3 linked regions of the Lonchura striata genome follow. The protein of the gene in region 2 purifies or fractionates together with the protein of the main gene of each other region. This does not show direct contact. Links are inferred from orthologs where the notes say so. Each region holds a gene or a part of one and is shown on either strand. Other genes may lie near its edges.

Region 1 (6,868 bases), on a different chromosome or scaffold from region 2:
AAAAAATCCTTTTCCAAACCATCACAGTTACTGTTTTCCCAGCCAACAGATATTTTATAGACAAAGACACATTATGAGTGGGGAAAAGAGAATTCTAAACTCCGATTCTCTTCAAAACGCTGTAAAGGATTTACAGGAGCTGCATTTTAATCTGCTTTTAATATGTCTGAGGGTTTATTGATTTAGGGGGAGGGGAGCTCGCTGACATTTGTTTCTTAAACATCACAATGGCACAGAGACATTTTCCCTCCCAATATCTGCTGGCCAAATCCAGCCCTCTGCTGCTGCCCAAGATTGATAACCAATTTGATTATTCTATTGTTAACAGGCTGCTGGGGGTGCCACAGCTTTAACCTTCACAGAAAGACAATTAATTTGGCAGGACAAGAGGGCATTTCATATTAAAAGAAAATAACAACCACAAGCTGTTTATGCTCATAATTCACACTTTTTTTTTTTCCCTCCCCTCACGGCTGTTCTGCAACTTTCACCAGCAAAGTTTCTGATGACCTCAAGGTTCTGGTTAAGGATTTTAACAAATTGTGCAAGGAGCTGTGCTGGCAATTAATTGTAGGGTCTTTTCATCACCATACAGCAGAGAACATGTTATTGATGACCAGCATATGAAATAGATGTCACAGATGACCAGCATATGAAATATTTATATATCATATAATATATATAATAAATATATATGAAATAAAGCACCACAGACCAGGCTAAACCAAAAATCTGACCGTGAACCCCCACCCAAAGTGGCACTGGGGGTTCTGAGCGCTGCCCTCTGAGGGACCTGCTCCAGGAGAGGGAAAGGAGAGGGAATGGGAAAATGGAGAGGGCAAGGGGAAAGGGAGAGGGAAATAGGAGAGGGAAATGGGAGAGGGAAAATGAGAGGGAGAGGGAAAATGAGAGGGAGAGGGAAATGGGAGAGGGAAAGGGAGAGAGAAAAGGAGAGGGAGAGGGAAAAGGAGAGGGAGAGGGGAAAGGAGAAGGAGAGGGGAAAGGAGAGGGAAAAGGAGAGGGAAAAGGAGAGGGAGAGGGAAAAGGAGAGGGAGAGGGAAATGGGAGAGGGAAAGGGAGAGGGAAATGGGAGAGGGAGAGAGAAAAGGAGAGGGAAAAGGAGAGGGAGAGAGGGAAGGGGGAAAGGGAGAGGGAAATGGGAGAGGGAGAGAGAAAAGGAGAGGGAAAAGGAGAGGGAAATGGGAGAGGGAGAGAGAAAAGGAGAGGGAAAAGGAGAGGGAGAGAGGGAAGGGGGAAAGGGAGAGGGAAGCTGCTGGGCTGGGAAGGAGCCGCATCCCGAGCCTTTGTTCCCATGAAAGCCCTGGAGCAGCCGAGCCCCAGCAGAGCGCGGGGGGCGCGCAGGGCCGGGCGGGGATGGGGGGTGGAGGCGATTTGGGTCCATTTCATCGTTTTAAACGCGGAAATTTAAAAAAAAAAAAAAAAAAAACTCGGGCGGCATCCCGCAGCGCTGCTCAGCGCTCCGCGGGGCTGCCGGGCACGGGGATGCCGGGGTGGGGATGGGGATCCGGGATGGGGATGGGGATGGGGATGGGGATCCCGGGATGGGGATGAGGATCCCGGGATGAGGATTCCAGGATGAGGATGGGGATCCCGGGATGGGGATGAGGATGGGGATTCCGGGATGAGGATGGGGATCCCGGGATGGGGATGAGGATGAAGATCTCGGGATGAGGATGAGGATCCCGGGATGGGGATCCCGGGATGGGGATGGGGAATCCGGGATGGGGATGGGGATCCCGGGATGGGGATGGGGATCCCGGGATGGGGATGAGGATGGGGAATCGAGGATGGGGATGGGGATCCCGGGATGGGGATGGGGATCCCGGGATGGGGATGGGGATCCCGGGATGAGGATGCGGATCCCGGGATGAGGATGCGGATCCCGGGATGGGGATCCCGGGATGGGGATGAGGATGGGGAATCGAGGATGGGGATGGGGATTCCGGGATGGGGATGGGGATCCCGGGATGGGGATCCCGGGATGAGGATGCGGATCCCGGGATGGGGATCCCGGGATGGGGATGAGGATGGGGAATCGAGGATGGGGATGGGGATTCCGGGATGGGGATGGGGATCCCGGGATGGGGATCCCGGGATGAGGATGGGGATCCCGGGATGGGGATCCCGGGATGCGGCTCCGGTGCCGGCGCTGCCGCAGGGGCGCGGCGGAGGCGCGGGCGGCCGCCCCAGTCGAGCATGCCCAGTCCCCGACATGACATCAGCGCCCGAGCCCGCGGCTCCCCCGCGCCCCCCGGACCCCCGGGACCCCCGGCACCCGCGGGGACCCCCGGGCCGCTCGCCCGGTGGGTCGGGGACAGCCCGGACGGGGGGACGCGGGCAGCGCCGCCGCCCCCATCCCGCTCCGCGGCTGCGGCAACAATGGAGGGATGGAGGGATGGAGAGGGTGGGGGGATGGAGGGATGGAGGGATGGAGGGATGGAGGGATGGAGGGGAATGGAGGGATGGAGGGGATGGAGGGATTGGGGGATGGAGGGGATGGAGGGATAGAGGGATGGAGGGGATGGAGGGGATGGAGAGGATGGGGGGAATGGAGGTTGGAGGGGATGGAGGGATTGGGGGGATGGAGGGGATGGAGGGATGGAGGGATGGAGGGATTGGGGGGATGGAGGGGATGGAGGGATGGAGGCGATGGGGGGGATGGAGGCGATGGGGGGGATGGAGGTTGGAGGGGATGGAGGGCATGGAGGGAATAGGGGGGACCCGCCGGGAGCGCTCGGGGGGTGATGCTCGCCCCGAGAGGAGGGACGCTCGCCCCGCCCGCGCGGGATGCGGGATGCGGGATGCGGCAGACTCACCCCGATGACCACGGTCTCGTCGCCCTTGAATTTGGGGATGAATTTGTCGCCGCGCAGGATCTCGGCCTCGTTGAGGGGCCGGAAGCGGCACATCACCTTGATGCTGCACTCGGCGGGGTCCGCCATGGCGGCGGCGGGCCCGGCGCTGCGCGGGGCAGCGGCGGCGGCGGCGGGCGGGACCGGGGCGGGGCGGGGACCACCGGGCGGGGCGGGACCGGGGCTGGACCGGGGCTGGACCGGGACCGCCGGGCGGGGCCGGGGCTCGCAGCCCGGGCGGTGCTCGCAGCCCGGACACGCCCCGGGCCGTCCCGCAGACCCGCGGGGATGCGCGGAGCCGCCCCGGAGTGACCCCGGGGCCGCCCCTCCCAGCGCCCAGGGACAGCTCATTCTGCTCGGGGCACCTTCCATCACTCCAGGGACACTTCTACTGTCCCCTGGGACACCTTCCATCACTCCAGGGACACCTCCACTGTCCCCTGGGACACCTTCCATCACTCCAGGGACACCTCCACTGTCCCCTGAGACACCTTCCATCACTCCAGGGACACCTCCACTGTCCCCTGGGACACCTTCCAGTGTCCCAGGGACACCTCCACTGTCCCCTGAGACACCTTCCATCACTCCAGGGACACCTCCACTGTCCCCTGGGACACCTTCCATCACTCCAGGGACACCTCCACTGTCCCCTGAGACACCTTCCATCACTCCAGGGACACCTCCACTGTCCCCTGGGACACCTTCCAGTGTCCCAGGGACACCTCCACTGTCCCCTGAGACACCTTCCATCACTCCAGGGACACCTCCACTGTCCCCTGGGACACCTTCCATCACTCCAGGGACACCTTCCATCACTCCAGGGACACCTCCACTGTCCCCTGAGACACCTTCCATCACTCCAGGGACACCTCCACTGTCCCCTGGGACACCTTCCATCACTCCAGGGACACCTTCCATCACTCCAGGGACACCTCCACTGTCCCCTGAGACACCTTCCAGTGTCCCTGGGACACCTTCCAGTGTCTCAGGGACACCTCCACTGTCCCCTGGGACACCTTCCATCACTCCAGGGACACCTCCACTGTCCCCTGGGACACCTTCCAGTGTCCCTGGGACACCTTCCATCACTCCAGGGACACCTTCCAGTGTCCCTGGGACACCTTCCATCACTCCAGGGACACTTCCACTGCCTCCAGGGACACCTTCCAGTGTCTCAGGGCCACCTCCACTGCCCCAGGGACACCTTCCATCACTCCAGGGACACCTCCACTGTCCCCTGAGACACCTTCCAGTGTCCCCAAGGACACCTTCAATTCTCCCACGTTGCTCCAAGCCCCATCCAGCCTATCCTGGGTATTTCCAGGGATCCAGGGGCAGCCACAGCTGTTCTGGACAATCTCTGCCAGGGTCTCCACACCCTCACAGCAAAGGATTTCTTCCATTTCTCTGAACTAAATTTCCCCGAGTCTCTCTCCAGCTTCTTCCAGATGCTGGAAGCTGCTGTGGGCTCTCCACACAACCTTCACCACTCAACCTTCCCCACACAACCTTCCCCACACACTCAACCTTCCTCACACAACCTTCCTCACACAACCTTCTCCCCAGCATTCCCAACCTCTCCTAGGGAAGGTGCTCTAGTTTCCACATCAGCTTCGTGGTGACCCTCTGAATTTGCTCCAATATGAAACATTCATACATAATATCATATATATAATAAATATATATTAAATAAAGCACCACAGACCGAGCTAAACCAAAAACCTGCCCGTGAACCCCCACCCAAGCCCCCCTCTCCAAGCTCCAAGCTGCCCTTGGTGTCTCCCCTCAGCATCTTTCTCCCTCTGCCCCAGCTGGATCCAGGTTAAAGGATGTTTTTCCTGGGATGTCGCTCTGGGAGGAGCAGCAGGAGCAGTGGTGCCTCTGGTGCCTAGTTTAGGGCAAATTTGGGGAAAACCCTCTGGAAGGAGCCCTCAGGAAACAAATCCCCACGGCCCCTCCCCACCCACCTGGTTCGGGAAAAAAATTTCCTCTGAGAGAAGTGGAAAAGAACCTGTTTATTTCACAAACAAAGCACCCCCAGCACCAAAGAAAATAACAACACCAGATGACAACAAAACTCCTTCACCACTCTGAAAAGGTGACAAATCCAGACTTTCCTGGGAGTGGTCGCTGGGGATTGCTCTGGGCACTGGGGACGGATGCTGCAGATCACAAAATGCAGGCTCTGGGTGCTCCTCGGGGTTTCCAGGGTGGATGGTATTCAGGAAAAGGAAAAGGGAAAGGAAAAAAAAAGAAAAAGGAGGGAAAGAAGGAAAGGAAAGGAAAGGAAAGGAAAGGAAAGGAAAGGAAAGGAAAGGAAAGGAAAGGAAAGGAAAGGAAAGGAAAGGAAAGGAAAGGAAAGGAAAGGAAAGGAAAGGAAAGGAAAGGAAAGGAAAGGAAAGGAAAGGAAAGGAAAGGAAAGGAAAGGAAAGGAAAGGAAAGGAAAGGAAAGGAAAGGAAAGGAAAGGGAAAGGAAATGGGAAGGGAGCCTCCTGCTCCTCTCCAGGGAGGCTGTGCTCGTCCTCCTCCCCTAAAAACGCTCCTTCCTTACCTGCTGCAATCACCTGCAGCTCTCCCTCCTGCCTCGTTCATGGTTTGGAACACTCTGAAATACCACAGGAATTTCCTCCTCCTCCTCCATCAGTCTCTCCCGACAAGAATCTCCTGCTTAAAAAGAACCCAAACATCCATGATGCCTTCTTGGAAGCTGCTGGCCCTGGTTTCCACCAGAGTTTCATTCAACCACCCTCAGCTGTGAAATTAAGATGAGGGTGGACAACCCTGCAGCATTTTGATGGAAATCTCCCTTTTTTTTGCAGTCATTACCTGAGGTGGATGTGAGGAGCAGGCTGGCCACAAAGCCTCTCACGCCCTTCTTAAAATCAATTCCATGGGGGAGAGTTAGCAATGTGCAGCATGTGATAAGCCATTATTACATAATGGGATTTATTCCCGTGGATTACCAATTATCCCTTTTATTTCTCTTATGTTTCAAGCTTTTACCCTGAATAGCAAATTTGTTAGTCATGACAAGCAGGGGCTTAGTCATAAAAGACAAGTCTTTGGGTGAATTAATCCTTATTTTCCTCCATTATGGAGAGCTCATTTTGGAGTGAGATAAGCAAAACTCGATTTTTCTCTCGGAGCAGGTATAATCTGCCATCAGAAGAATGCAGAGAGCCATCTTTTCCCAGCAGCTTTGTCACATACAACGTGACATTGTCTGGAGCGCAGACAATACTGAATTGTCACCCAGCTGGATCTATTTTTACTACTTATCACCAGATTAGGTGAAGCAGCCTGGTAGGAATGTGAATTTTCAGCCAGATTTGGGGGTGATCAGCGCCTCCCTGGGTCTGTGAGCTTCTCCCAGGCAGGGCTGGGTGCCTGAAGGTGGGATGGACAGTTTGGTGGGAACCTGCTTTATAAAAACCATGAAAATACAGAAAAGCAGAGCTTAAATACTTCATTGTTTTCACCTTCATTCGTTTCTTTCACCTCTCAAACCATGTCATTTTTTCAGCTGTACACTTGCAAGAAATCCACTTAGATACACGTTTTGCTGAGCTTACTTACACCTGAACATATGAAAATTGCCTTCCTTCCAGCACCACAAAAAGAGAACCTGGGTTTTCTCTCCTGTTCCCCCTTTCCCAGCTCCCCAGTTTAGCTCACCCTGGCAGACCAGATATGGTTTGACAGCAACTTCTGATTTTTCCTGAAGAAATTCCCCAGCTGAGCCAACTTCAGCTCGGTAAACATCCCAAGATATCAGAATAATGAATGGGAATAATAAAGGAATAACAAATCCCTTCCTCCTCGAGGACTGGGATCATAAAGGAATGAGAAAATTCCATTTCTCTCCAGGGGAGCCAAGGTGTTGAGGCTGCAGGAAAACCAGGGAGGGGACAGGTGACAAAGCAGGACAGGGACAGTGACAGAGGTGATCCCACAGAAATGGGGGTGATGCTTTGTCAAGGCTGCCCCAGAGCAGA
Region 2 (6,848 bases):
ATTTAACTAGACTTAGCATGCTTGTCCCCATCACTGTCCGTGATGCTGCACTTCAACAGTGAATACAAAAGTACACTTTGCTTATTTATGAATTTACCCAAATTTCTGTATTTTTTACTCCGCTTACGGAAACTTTATTTGACAAGTATTTGTACACTGAATTGAGTTTTAAAATAATCATGAGCTATGCAGCTGGAGAGATGCTGTTAATCCCAGAGTAAATTCAATTGCACGTCTCCCAGAGAAGTCAAACAGAAGAAGAGATGAAAGAGTAACTGCACAAGCCCACATTTCAAGAGAAACAGAAGCTACATTAAATGGACTCAGAACTGAATATAAGGCTACATTATTTCCCCAAACCCCCAATTAAATAGGAGACATATGCAGATATGTATGCATACACAAAAAGATACAGAGAGAGAGAGAGATATGTGTACTGTATGAGCAGCACATGAGTGAGAGGTCTCTGACATTAGCATGGCAAGTTCTCCATAAACACAGGAAGCAGCAATTGTCCTTATATGCCTTAAACATCTGTCCAGTGTATTTTGTTCTATGTCAAAAACATTCAGATTGTGCTTGGGACTCCTGCACATTTAATTACAAATTATGTATGTGAGTCCTCTGTTGTATATTAGAGACCTTTTAAAATAATCCATTCCATTAATAAGGCATTATTAACCATATAATAGGAATTTGACAAACCATGAGGCTACTTCACAGGGCCTTTGGGGGGTAACTTTATTCTCTGTTTTAATTATATATGGTAGCAAGTAAAGGGAATCTGTGCACTAATTGCTGTTAGAATTTCTGACTACTGGAATTCTTCAGCTCCATCATCATCCTTCAGAAACATGAAGGCTGCCAAACTTGAACTGCAACATGATGCAGAAGTGATACTGCATTGATGAGCCAGTTTCAGGAACAGACAATTTAAATTTCCTGCACTTGCCCACATGCTTCTCCATTATGTGAAATGTCTACCTAAATGGAGCTGCCAGAATTCTCCATAGCTGTTCTAATTTCATGGAAAAGGTCCTCCTGAACCATGTGGTCACAAAAATAATTGCGCAAGTGACTTACAAGGTCTTCTGCTCAGCCTCACCAGATGGATCAGCTTTCTCTCTGCTGCCAGTAAATGCTGAATGTGTAACTTCCAATTGTATCTGTAATCCTAGGGTTATAACATCCTCTATCATGTTTCGCTGAAGCTTTGGAATTCATACTCAATTAAAATAAAGCTATCTTCCAAAAGAGTTTTAAACCAACTGTGCACTCGAAAAGGTGCTGCTTTCAGTTTAGTAGGGATTTTTTTTTAATCAAAATGCGAAGCTGTCTAAATTCTCAACAGCTCCTCTTTATCTTCCAATGGACACACTTTGTACATAAGTTTCCTATTTAAGTGATGAGCAAATGCAAAAGTGGAAGTGAAAGAGACAATTACTTTGCAGAGCAATTTTTGTTAAACCTTTTGTCAAGCACAACACAGCTAAAACTGAATCTTAACTGGTTTAGTTTCTTCTATTATGTCTAAACATGAAAGCATGTTATATGAATGACACTGGCTCACTATTTTGCTGTTCAAATCAAACTATAAAAACAGACTTTTGCTTTTTCCTAGTCAGTTTTGTTTTCTGAGTCTGTATTCTGACTTCATGACCAGTATCTTGAGTACTGATACTACTTTTACATCATATCCATTAATGGAAATTACTTAATACAAAAAAAAACTTATTAAGAGCTCCATCACTGATTAGCCACCTTCAAAAGCCACACAAGAGTATTACACTAGGTGATGCCACATTGGTCATTAAAATGTGCTTCAATATGCCTAGAACACAGAATTCAATAAGTGTTAAGAACTTTCCTTATTCTGATTACATACAACTGCTATGCAGATCTATAAATACGGCATCTTGTTACTTAGAAATATCAGAAAGACAAAAGCAAAATGAATAAGGTTTTAAAGTGTCCTTCTAATCAATCTCTGCTCTAAAGATACAGTTAGTTATCAATTAAATAAATTCTATATTTTTGCTAGATTAACGCGTTTCTAACCAATGCTTGCCTTATTCTGAGGGTGCAGAAATCCAGGCAAGACCTAAGTCTATATGAATCGCCTCCGACTACAGCAAGGCAGGTGACCTACAATGTATAAATCCGGTCACTGTGTACAAAGCCCAGAGAAGACCTGTCCTCGCCTCGCCCTCCAGCAGCTCGGACCTGGCAGCGGCAGAGCGCGGAGCCGGGGGAGCGCAGACAAAGCGCCGCACGCCCGGGGCCGCAGGCCGAAGCCTCCCCAGCCCTCTGCCCGCTCCCTCCCAGGGCGGCGCCCGCCGCAGCACCGAGGGGAGCCGGGAGAGGAAACGGGGACAAAGCCGAGCCGATCCCCATCCTCAGGCACGTACCCCTGCCCGCAGCCGAGCGCAACTGACAAAACGCCCAAAAACAGCCTCCCCAAAAAGCCACCCCGCCCTGGGCGCGGAAGGACGGGGCCGGCTGTCAGCGGCGGCGCCGCGGGGGCACCGGGCGGCCCGCGCAGCCTTTTGTTATTTGCGCAGCGGCGGATGAAAAGGGAGGGGAACTGAACGCCCCAGGCACCCGCACCCAAACACACACGCACATACACACATACACACATACACGCACACACACACACACACAAACCCCGCGTCCCGGCCCTGCGGCTCCCCCCGCTCACCGCTCGGTGCTGCAGCTCGGGCGATGTGCGCAGCGCTCGCTGGGGCGGCGGGGGCCGCGCAGCCCGGGGCGGGGAGGCGGCCGGAGGAGGATGTCAGCGATGGGCGGGCGAAAGGGAGGAAGGAAAAGGGTTTTTTGGGGGGAGAGAGGAGCGGAGAGAGGGAGGGAAGGCGAGAAAGAAGCGAGTCAGCACCACGGCGCGCCCAGTGCTCCCCGCAAGGCGCTGCAGGGCCGCGGTGGTCGGCGCCGGCGGAGCGGGCGCTGACAGCTGCCGGCAGCCGCCACCACCGCCCCGGCTGCTGCTGCTGCGGCTGCGGCCGCCGCCCCGGTCCCGGTCCCGCCCCGCGCTCCCCTCCCTCCTTCCCTCCCGCCCCGCCTGACATGGCGGCGCCCCCCTTCTCCCACAAGCGCCCGCGCGCCCTTCTCTCCCAGCGCCCCCCTCACGGCGCCATCCCTGCCCGGGAGCGGCGGCGCCGCGCGGGATGCTCGGCGCAGCTCCGGGCTTCAGGGGCATCCCCGAGGCTGCCAGTGCAGCCGCGCTAAACCTCGCTAGGATTTGCCTCAAGTGGATGTCAGTGCAGAGCAGATCCCGGCGTTTCCTCGGGGCGCCCTGGGTGACACCGGGGCGGTTTCGCTCCACTGCTGGTGCTCTTGGCGCTGGTTTGACCTACTCCCGTGGAGAGAAGTTCAGGGTTATGGTAACTGCAGGACTCGTGAAACTGATGTCCCCATCTCAGTTGGATGCCTCTGGGAAAATCTTCCACGCCCTTTAAAAAGGACATTGAGGTGCTGGAGTGTGTCCAGCAAAGGGCAGCAAGGCTCGTGAAATGTCTAGAAAACGTGTCTTATGGGGAATGGCTGAGGGACCCGAGTTGGTTTGGTTTCAAGACGAGGAGGCTCAGGAGGAACCTCATCATTCTCTGGAATAGGTTGCCCGGGGAGCTGGTGGAGCCACCACCCCAGAGGTGATAAGAGGCACCTGGATGTGGCACTGGGCAATGTGGTTTAGTGGTCATGGGGTTACAGGGGCAGTGCTGGGTAGATGGTTGAACTGGAAAATCATGAGGGTCTCTTCCAACCATGACTTCATGAAATATGCTTGAAAATCCCCGCAGTTTGCAACGGCTCAATGGAGCGAGTCACAGAGAAATAAGCTGAAGGAGAAGTACTGTGTTAAAGGTTGCCCACCACACAGAGCTCAGTGAGTGTTGCCAATATATTTCAATGCCTTCATCTTTGTTCTGCGGGGAAGTAAGTGAAAGGTCCCTGCTCTTACACATATTTATACATGAAAAGTAAGAGTTCCATGAGAACTCAGTGACACTTGTCACAAGAACTATTTATTTGCAGCTTCCAATTTCATTCCCACTCTTGCTAGAGAGGAAGGAACAGCCACAGTATTTTCATGTTATGTTCCACTAGTTAGACGTTAAGCCCAGAAAGGAAAGATGGAGGGAACTGAGGTATAAGATAGAAAAAAAATTAAAATAACCATTCAAAAACCCAAACAAACAAACAATACAACAAAAACAAAGACCCCCCCAAAAAAAAAACCAAGCACTCAAAACATTAATTATAGCAAAGCTGTAAAATGTACACTGTAAATCATCAGGGATTAGTGACAGCCTAACTTTATGAAAGAGTTGTATTGTGATGCATTATCACCTGAGCTCCACATAGAATAGAATAGCATTGTTCAGTGGAAGGGGACCTGCAATATGTACAGGGTGTGAATCATAACCTAATAGAAGAACATAGAGGTATAGTGGTAAATCAAAATATGCAGCCTCACCTAAGTGGTAATATTTAAAGTATTAAAGGAAAGCAGAGCTTGCATATGTTTGCCCTCATGTACAATGCTGAGCAAGTCTACAGAATAGATGTGAGAACAAGAGTCGGGTGAGAAAGCAAGGCTCCTAAGAATAAGCAGGAAGTCAGAAGAGGAATCAAAGCTAATGCTGTTGTCAAAGAGGCAGAAGAACAGGAAGAGTCACAGAAGCCCACAAGAAACAAAGCAAAGTTAGGGGAACATAGATAGTCTTCAGACTGTAAATACAGAGAATCATTGCTGGATTTGAAAAGCTGAGGGAAATAAAGTATACTTACTGAATTCCACTCTCTGATTGATATTTTACACAGATCCAGCTGTCCAGCAAAACCCAGTTTTGATACAAGTATTTCCAAGCAGCAGTTCTTGTATTCTTCATCTCAATTTAAAACTTTTCTCTGGCAATTTTATATTAATGGTTTAATTAACCACATTTTAGTTTTAACAGGCAATACAACCTAATTATAACAGTGTGAAATATCTCTTTGCACAGTAATACGAAAGGGGGAAAAAGATTGAAGGGCATTCCCTTACAGAAACTACATTTTAAAGAGTTATACCAATTGGTTCACAGGTTCAGAGTATTCTCATGAATATGCAAGAGCTTTAATTAAAAATAGAACATGCCCTAATTACATAATTATGCAAGAGAACTGATTCAAAGGAACCACTCCTGCCTTTTGAATAAACAATATTCATTGCTTTCTTCCTATCACACATTTTCTTTAAAAGATTTCCTGCAATTAGCTGCTTACCCCAGGGATATGAGCATCCCTGAACAAAGCAACTACTCCAGCTATGACCCTGATTCATAATATGCTGGCTAATCAAGTATATGCATCCTGGCAATTTCCCACATAAACAGCACACACTATAAGCTCTCTCCTGCAGGAAGGTTGATTAGCTCAATGGAACTATAGTGCAGTTTACTCCTCTGTGTTTATGGCACACAGCAGAAGCTAGACACAGGAGAGACTTGGTGAAGATGATTTTTCCTCAAGCTACTGCCTGACCTGAAATATCCAAAGAGTTCCTCTTCATTTGGATCTTGTTTTTCCTGTCTCATCTACATGAGAATTATCCAGGTTCATCTAGCAGTAAAAACTATTCACTGCCCACATTTCCATTTTATCTTAAGGAACTGGTTATGCTGCAAGCCCTGATTTTTTGATTAAATTATCGAGATATGCTGTCTCTAGTATATTATGAAATCACAGAGTCAATTAGGTTGGAAAAGACCTCTGAGATTATCAAGCCCAACCTATGACCTAACACAACCATGTCAACTAGACCATGGCACTAAGTGCCATATCCAATCTTTACTTAAACACCTTCAAGGATGGTGACTCCTATGATCCTTTGCCTATCACCAGCAAAGTCACCATTGTTTTCTGCAGACTCCTGAGTGCATGCCAAAACAAAACCCCAAAACTAATTATTTACAATGCTGGATTCTTTAGTCTCAATATTCCAATTTCCCTCTACTCCCAGAAGAGAGAGGGAGGTTTGTAATGCACAGTGGGAGAGCAAAAAGCAAACAGTTCAACTAATGCAGCACAAAGCTCTGTGGTTTTTGAAGTGCAACAGTGTGAGAAATACACACAGTGAACTGAGGTCAGCTTACCTGACATTCAGAAATGGGGCAAACCTCTAAAGAAATTCAGGTTCACTTCCTTTAAGAAGTGTGGGTCATTTTATTTTACAGTTTGTGATGGGTTGACAGTGGCCAAATGCCACCAGCACACCATTGTACTAAAAAAATACATCCTTCTGTCTTAGAGGATCTTCCCATCCAAAGAGATTTTTTTTTTTTAATCTAATCTTATAGTCTATAAAATCTATGACATAATTTTAGAAATATGGCCACAATAAAGTACTATATTGGAGTAATTTTAACTGCTGCTAAACTGCTATTTAAAAGCATCCTGGCAATAATAAATATTGAAAGGCCAGATTCAGCAATCTGGCTGGTTTTTCATCAAAACCACTTGACAGTTGCATATGTTTTAGTTTGTATTTCCTACAAGAACATCCTTTATGGAAAAGAGGAGACATAAAAACCAGTGCTCAAGACTCAGAAATGTCAAGCACCCAGTCCTAGGCACAATTTTAGCCCAACTCTTTTCTTCATATGTACAATTACTGCATGCAGAGCTACCTTTTTGTGAGAAAATTCAGGCACTTTGGGGTAAAAGGAGTGTGTTTTGCTTTGCTTGACTCATTGTCAAATGCCTGAACTTACCATTGGGAACCTACTGTCAGGCAAGGCATTAATTCTTAGTAAAATAAACACTGATCATGGTCCTGCTTCCCAAGTCAA
Region 3 (7,686 bases), on a different chromosome or scaffold from region 2:
TTTGCTTCTCCACAAACACCCGGTTTAAAGATTTATTCAAATATGTAATGTTCTTTTAAAACCAAATCAAGATCACTTTTGCTCTGCTAGAACAATTTCGATGGTTAATTACATAATTATCCCGATATAGCTTCCCTGTAAGGCTTAGGTTTGCCAATTTGCTTTGCTTTGCAGGTTTTTATTGCTGGGAAAGACTGAAGATCTGAAAGAGCCATAAGTCATAAAAGAATTTGCAGAGGTTTATTGCACAGTTCATAAATGGAAAGAAACATGGTTAGTGAACTAACAACACAAATTCCTCACATAAATTGCTTTAATAAAACATGTTAGTCTTTACTAAGAAATTTTACTAAACTTATTGTCAGCTACAACTGAGATATAGATTTTTTTTCTCATTATATTACTTTTAAAGATAGTCTCTTATCCTAAGTGTCAAAAAATGTATGCTATAGACATTACATAACAACATAGAAGACAGCAAATATATTCTTAATTGGCAAAGAAAGTGCATTCTGTTATTACCACAAAATGGGAAACTTTCCAGGATGCTTGGTCTCTGCCATGTTCTCAGGAGACCACATCTTTAAACACAAGTCCTCAAGGCTGCTCTTCTGACACATCTTGGCGCCAGTAGAGATAACACAGTGCCCTCTTTGAGCACACGGCTTTGTTGTGTCAGCCTTTAAGTAGGTCATGCCAAGGAGCAGTTGCTATTTTGAACAGATCAGAGAAGAGAAACTTCATGGCAGTCCCTGACAGGGATCTGAGAGCACACGAGTGGTTCAGCAGAGCACCTTCACCAAGAGCTCCCACAGCTGGGATGGGACACCATCAGCCTCTTCTCCTATGGGCTCACACAGGACAGCTTCAGAGTGGCCAGTTCCTACTACAGAGTTCACACATGCTGACATCTTTTGTTTCAACATAGTTAAAACGAATCATTATCTACTCATGTGTCTGTGTTGTCCTTGTGGAATGTCTGCTCTGTCAAACATTCAACAGGTAGGTAAGCAAGGCCAAGCACCTATTTTCTTGACAATCATGTAATCACGAGGTTTCTTTTTTGACTGAGATGTTCTAACATCGGGCACTACATGTCAGTAAATGCAGATAAAGGTACATTCCTTCTGCTTACGGATAACAAGAACTAGAAGTTTCTTCAATACATTAGGGGAAATGATATTCAGCAGGTGAAATGTACTTCTGTGAGTAATAATCACAAAGTTGTTTATTATGCAGCTAATATTGCTTTTTCCTGATGTACAGAAGTAAATTAATTTAAAAAGTAGTAAATATTCAGGTTCCTTTCATAAAAATAATAACCTTCTGTCACAGGAAATCTTTGATGATTCAAATCCTACAGCTGCATAAGAATATTGCTAGCCATAAGCTTGTGAATAATCCCAGAAATAGATGAGATAGAAGCATTAATACATCTTGCTGCTTGAGATACAATGTAATAATATCTAACATAGCAACCAACTAAAACAGGTTTTCTGACATGTAAAACCTAGTAACAATTATGTTTAAAGCATTTTATTGAAATCTGTAGACAGATGTCTGTGTATATCTCATATGCTAGATGTTGTGGACTAGCACTGCACCTTCTACAGACTGAGCTTATATCTTGCTTTTTCCAGACAACTATTTCCACATGTGCTCATAGGTGTGGACACATCATTGTTGCTGCCCTGAATAAGACAGCACAGTCCCGCTGCATTTTTAATCACAGTGGAAAAATAAACTTGTTACAACATGAACTCAGTTTAGAAGACATAGCTTACCTCATAAGATAAACTAAGCACAGAAATATTTTTTGCATTACTCTGTGAAAAGAACCTATAAGTGCAACTAGATTATTAGGTTATTTTTCTGTCATGTGGAGCAGTTTTGAAGTGTTTGCCTTGCACACCTATCCTAAGTAAAAACACATCACTAAAATCCCTAAACTGAACATCACTAAAATCCCTAAACTGAGAAGTCTTAAAAATGGGGGATGGCTGATTACAGATGGTCCCTGTTAAAATTTACAGTAGTTTCTCCTTTTTTATAATGAAAAATGAGTATTTTTAAGTACACTTAAAACTGCTCTTCTGAGTAATTCTGGCTTACTAAAATACACTAACTTAAGAGAAAGGCTCCCTATTCTTTTTCCATTTTTAAAAATTAACTTCAAGGCTATTTGAAAAATTACCAGTACAAATTATGATTTCTGTCAAGAAACTGGCTGAACTCAGCCAAGCTGTGAGTTTGTACTCTGTTCCAATCTGAAAGTTCATGCTTGGATGAAAGAGGCACAGTTGTAAAAGTGTGAGATTTTTGGGGCTCTCTGTTAGAATTGTTTACCTGATGCTTTTGTCTAGATACAGTCCCTAAGTTTTGGTCAACTACATTTAGAGCCCCTATAATAAATATGTAAACAAAACTTGCAATAAATTAAGCTTAAAAAAATTCCTGTCCAGATTTTCTTTTTTTTTTTCATTTGGGGTGAAAAAGTGGTGAGAGTCTCCATCCTGGGGGCGACATAATGAGCTGTGAGCTGTGTGTGTTCTGATCCCACTCGCTGGGTTCCTGCTCCAGGATGCACACAGGCAACGAAGCTCATGGGCACACTGGCATCTGTGAACACCTCATGGGTGGGAATTTTCTCTCTTTTAGCTAAAAGAGGAAAAGAAATGTAAACAAACAAACTAAAAAACCCCAAATATCATAGGTTCCTATCTCAACCACCTGCTTTAAGCCTTTACCTCACACTCAGCCCCTAAGGTTTATCACACATACACTGCTGTCCCCAGCAGTGCCATGCCCTGCTGGGGTATGTCTGACCTGTCCAACACCAGCTGCCAGCGGAGCTGAGGTGGCAATGCAGATCGGTGTCTGACATGGCCATGTCACCTGTCCAACACCAGCCACCAGCGGAGCTGACGGAGCTGAGGTGGCAATGCAGATCGGTGTCCGACATGGCCATGTCACCTGTCTGACACCAGCTGCCAGCAGAGCTGAGGTGGCAATGCAGATCAGTGTCCGACATGGCCATGTCACCTGTCCGACACCAGCTGCCAGCGGAGCTGAGGTGGCAATGCAGATCAGTGTCCGACATGGCCATGTCACCTGTCCGACACCAGCTGCCAGCAGAGCTGAGGTGGCAGCACAGATTGGTGTCCAGCATGGCCATGTCACCTGTCCGACACCAGCCGCCAGCGGAGCTGAGGTGGCAATGCAGATCAGTGTCCGACATGGCCATGTCACCTGTCCGACACCAGCTGCCAGCAGAGCTGAGGTGGCAATGCAGATCAGTGTCCGACATGGCCATGTCACCTGTCCGACACCAGCTGCCAGCAGAGCTGAGGTGGCAATGCGGATCTGTGCCCCACATGGCCATGTCACCTGTCCGACACCAGCCACCAGCGGAGCTGAGGTGGCAATGCGGATCTGTGCCCCACATGGCCATGTCACCTGTCCGACACCAGCTGCCAGCGGAGCTGAGGTGGCAATGCGGATCTGTGCCCCACATGGCCATGTCACCTGTCCAACACCAGCCACCAGCGAAGCTGAGGTGGCAATGCAGATCAGTGTCCGACATGGCCATGTCACCTGTCCGACACCAGCTGCCAGCGGAGCTGAGGTGGCAATGCGGATCTGTGCCCCACATGGCCATGTCACCTGTCCGACACCAGCCACCAGCGGAGCTGAGGTGGCAATGCGGATCTGTGCCCCACATGGCCATGTCACCTGTCTGACACCAGCTGCCAGCGGAGCTGAGGTGGCAGTGCAGATCGGTGCCCGACATGGCCATGTCACCTGTCTGACACCAGCTGCCAGCGGAGCTGAGGTGGCAGTGCAGATCGGTGCCCGACACTCCTCACTAGGGCGGCAGCGGCCTCATCCCTGCAGCCCTCTGCCCATCACCTGCCTGAGGGAGCTGGGGGTGATTAGCCTTCAGAAAAGGAGGCTCAGGCGTGATGTTTTTGCTCTCTAAAACTGCCTGAAAGGAGGCTGCAGCCAGGTGGGGGTCAGCCTCTTTTCCCAGGCAACCAGCAACAGGGCCACAGGACTTAGCCTTAAGATGGCCCAAGGGAGGTTCAGGTTACACAAAAATAATTGTTAGACATTTGAATGGGCTGCTCAAGGAGGCTGTGGTGGCTGTCCCTGGATGTATTTAAGACTGGATGTGGCATTTAGTTGATATACATTGTACTGGATGACCTCAGGGCTTTTCCAGCCTGATTCTGTGTGGATGATGCCAGGCTGTGCAGGAACGTGGAGGAGTCACCATTCCTGGAGGAGTTTAAGAGGCATCTGGACTGGCGCTGGGTGATATGGTTTGGTGCTTTAGGGGCCACAGGTAGTGCTGTGTTGACAGTTGGACTTGATGACCTTAAGTGTCTCTTCCAACCTTGATGGTTCCATGATTCCATGATTCTATAATTCTATGATCCGATGAGTTTACGGCCCCATGACCCCAGCGGCACCGCGACTCCAGGCGCTGCCATGGCGCCCCGCCCGCCTGAGGCAACCCCGCCCCTGCCCGCGCCCTCGGCGGCCCCGCGGGCACCGCCCCGCCCGGGGGCGGAGCCGCGCCTGCGCACAGGGCGGGGCTGGGGCGGGGCTGGTGCTGCGGTGGGTGACGTCACCGCCCGCCCCTCCGGCGGGGCGGGGCGGGAGCCGCGGCCGCAGCCGCCATGGCCGGTGCCATGTTGGGGAGGAAGTGAGAGCGGGAGGCGGCGGCGGCGGCCAGGAAGGAGCCCTTCCCTTTTCCCTCCTGCCGGGGCGGGCGCGGCTTTCCCGGCCACGGCGGCTTGCGAGACCCCCCCGGTGCGGGCGGTGCGGCGGCGGCAGCTGGCGGCGGCGGAGCTGAGCGCCCCGGAGGCGGCGGCGGCCTAAGATGGCGGACCCGGCGGAGTGTAACATCAAAGTGATGTGTCGCTTCAGGCCCCTCAACGAGTCCGAAGTGGCCCGAGGCGACAAGTACATCGCTAAGTTCCAGGGCGAGGACACCGTCGTCATCGCGGTGAGGGCCCGCCCGGGCGGGAGAGGCGGGAAGCGCCGGGGGAGGGAGGGAGGGAGGGAGGGGGCGGCCGGGGTCGGCGGGGTCACGCCGCGGGGATGGGCGCGCTGTGGGGCGGGAGGGCTCGGAGCGCCCGCGGGCGGGGACCCTCGGGGCGGGGAGCGGCCTCCTTGGAGACCGAGGCGAAGGGGAAAGGGGGCAGGGACGGCTGCGGGCGGGGTGAGCCGGTCCGGGTATGGGGGGCGGTGGGGCAGGTCGGGAGACCTTTGACAAAGGCGCAAGTGCCGAGGTGCGGAGTGAGGGCGAGTCCCGCAGTGTCCGCCGGCCGGGCGCTGCCCGGGCCGGCCGGCCGTGCTGTGAGATGCTAAATGCACGCGTGGGGGCTGCCGCCCGATCGCTGTCTGCGGAGAGTTTGGGCAAGAAATGCGGAACGGCAGTGCAGGCTCCAGAGCTGTACATCGGTCTTCAGCTGATAGCTTCTTTTTTGTTGTTGTTAAATCAGAATAAACAGACCATTTGCCTTACTGCATGTTCCTAAGTGTATTTTAAGTGGAGTCTCCTTGCAAGGTCTCCTGTTAAAAACATTATGGATGTTGTAGGGGAAAAGATAATCCTTTCCTTTTTCTCCAGTGAATCATAGCTAGCTACAAAGTGGAGCTAGAATATAAAAATAAAGTGCAGTTGTTTGTTGCCTGGTTTGGTTGATGTTGTACAAACACACTTTAGCCCCAATGTTTGTTTTGTTTTTGTTAACTTTTAATTTGTGTTTTCGTGTAAATATATTTCATGAGAAACTGCTGATTCTTGCTGAAAGTAACTTAGAGACCAGTTATCTGTCTAAAAATTTTAGGGGTTTATGTTTTGTTTTTTGAGGCTACCAATAATAGCTTTTTTTGCACAGTATCTGAAGCTGCAGGAAGCAATAGAGGCAATTTAATAAAATACTTTTTTTGTAATAGGATTTACTAAATACTAGTGCTTTAGTCTGATAATATTCAGCTGAATTTGCCAATAAAATATGGAATTCCATGAGTCTGGAGTGACAAGAACAATAGCATTCTTGTGAAATGAGGTAATTTGGGTTTATTTCAGCTGGCAACTTACTATCTTGGAGTACATCACTTCTTCCTGAGGTTGTACAGGTAAACTCAGAGGAAGGAAGCAATCCTGGAAAATGGAAAATATAACTTGAGTGAATAATCTCACTTTCATCAGTAAATACCCATTCATTGTGACACTGCATAGTCTGTTTATAATCCACAGTTCATTGTAGAAACCCTAATGTGTTCTAACTTAAAAATAAATTTTCTTCAGTAGCCCTCGTATAAATGAAAGCTTATATTTCTAAAATATTCTTTAGGTGCATTTTTAAAATATCTAAAATGTAGAGGTAAATAAATATCTGAATATCTAAAATGTGCAGAGGTAGTTCTGTATCTGAGTAGAACAATTTGACATTATGTTCCTGAGGGATCAGGTGGGCTTTCTGTTCAGAATTGATGTTTAGTGTTGCCAGCTGTACCTTGGTGATTTCACCTTGGAAAAAATCACAACAGATTTCCTAGTTGTCCTGGATCCAGGACTTGCCATGTCTAACTTGGGGGAAGATGCCCCCAAAATTATTAAATGGGGTAGCAGTGACAGTATTTGTGTCTTGTTTCACAAAATTTGAATAAAGGTTTGATAATCTCTGATTTTGTATTTGTATAATGATGGCTATAGGACAAGATTGATATACTCAAAATTTTGACTTGAATCTCTAAAACTGTTGACAATAACTTGTGTTTGGTGCTTTTGTTTTCAATAGCTTGAGTGAGTTTTTACAAATTTAGAGAGCCTCTAACCTGGGCCTGTAGTCAGGCACCACTTCTTTCTGTGTGTTGCAGAATTGCCCAAGGGAGGATAACAGAAGCAGTGCTCCTGAAACAGTGTCTGAAAGGCTTCCTCCATAAGCTGTGTGTGTGGTTACCTCAGCTCTTTGGTTTCTGCCCTTGTTGCTGCCTGTTGAGCAGTAATTGAGCCACTTTTGGTTTTTTATAGCTGCTTCCCTCAGCTGCCTGAAGGACTTGCACCTCCCGTGGGTGCCTGGCTCGGGGCTGGAGCAGTGGAGGCTGCCTTAATAATCCTGGGAGTTGCCTGTGATGGTCGATGGGAGGGGAAGACTGGGAGGCAGCAGAGCTGATCCCAGGCTGCAGGTTTGACTCCTCTGGAGGAGGGTGGGGAGGAAAATCAGTGACTATAGCCAAACCCTCCTCCTTCCTTGATTCCCCTGTCATCTCTGAGCTAGCTGTCTTCCCTTCTTTTCCTAGCTCCTGCAAAATTAATGTCATCTTTGTCTTTCTGGACAAGTGAGTCATTTTGATCTGTGTTAGATAAAATAAAAGTTTTAACTGTAGCTAGTGTGTAACAGCAGTTTTAGGGGACATAATGGTGTTGGTCTGCTTTAAAGAGCAGATTCTGAAACACAGTATTTTCTTTCCACAGGATGAAACTTTTTAACTAGTAAAGGGCTTTTAATTTTTTAATTGCAGGTGACTTCTTTCTATCTCAATAGTATATTAATTATTTTTTCCTAATGGCTTCTTCTGTTAATTAAATACAAGGATTTTGTTAAAACAGATTACTCATTATATGACTTTTATGTTAAACATTAGAAATGTACCTGTATGTGAAAATTG

Evidence for each region. The genes of interacting proteins can lie anywhere in the genome.
Region 1: the proteins of KLC1 (region 2) and KIF5C purify together in Homo sapiens (co-immunoprecipitation; 4 studies listed by BioGRID and IntAct, counting the BioPlex papers as one, with this or other methods). This does not show direct contact. The link is inferred for Lonchura striata from reciprocal best matches to the Homo sapiens genes KLC1 and KIF5C.
Region 3: the proteins of KLC1 (region 2) and KIF5B purify together in Homo sapiens (co-immunoprecipitation; 11 studies listed by BioGRID and IntAct, counting the BioPlex papers as one, with this or other methods). This does not show direct contact. The link is inferred for Lonchura striata from reciprocal best matches to the Homo sapiens genes KLC1 and KIF5B.

What each region holds. Positions count from the first base shown.
Region 1 is NC_134610.1:2,291,536-2,298,403, forward strand, and holds the start of KIF5C (kinesin heavy chain), read right to left. Parts: upstream 3,014-6,868; 5' UTR 2,964-3,013; coding exon 2,838-2,963; intron 1-2,837. UniProt on the Homo sapiens protein: Microtubule-associated force-producing protein that may play a role in organelle transport. Has ATPase activity. Involved in synaptic transmission. Mediates dendritic trafficking of mRNAs.
Region 2 is NC_134608.1:9,984,717-9,991,564, forward strand, and holds the start of KLC1 (kinesin light chain 1), read right to left. Parts: upstream 3,016-6,848; 5' UTR 2,702-3,015; intron 1-2,701. UniProt on the Homo sapiens protein: Kinesin is a microtubule-associated force-producing protein that may play a role in organelle transport. The light chain may function in coupling of cargo to the heavy chain or in the modulation of its ATPase activity.
Region 3 is NC_134603.1:142,639,682-142,647,367, reverse strand, and holds the start of KIF5B (kinesin-1 heavy chain), read left to right. Parts: upstream 1-4,673; 5' UTR 4,674-4,885; coding exon 4,886-5,011; intron 5,012-7,686. UniProt on the Homo sapiens protein: Microtubule-dependent motor required for normal distribution of mitochondria and lysosomes. Can induce formation of neurite-like membrane protrusions in non-neuronal cells in a ZFYVE27-dependent manner.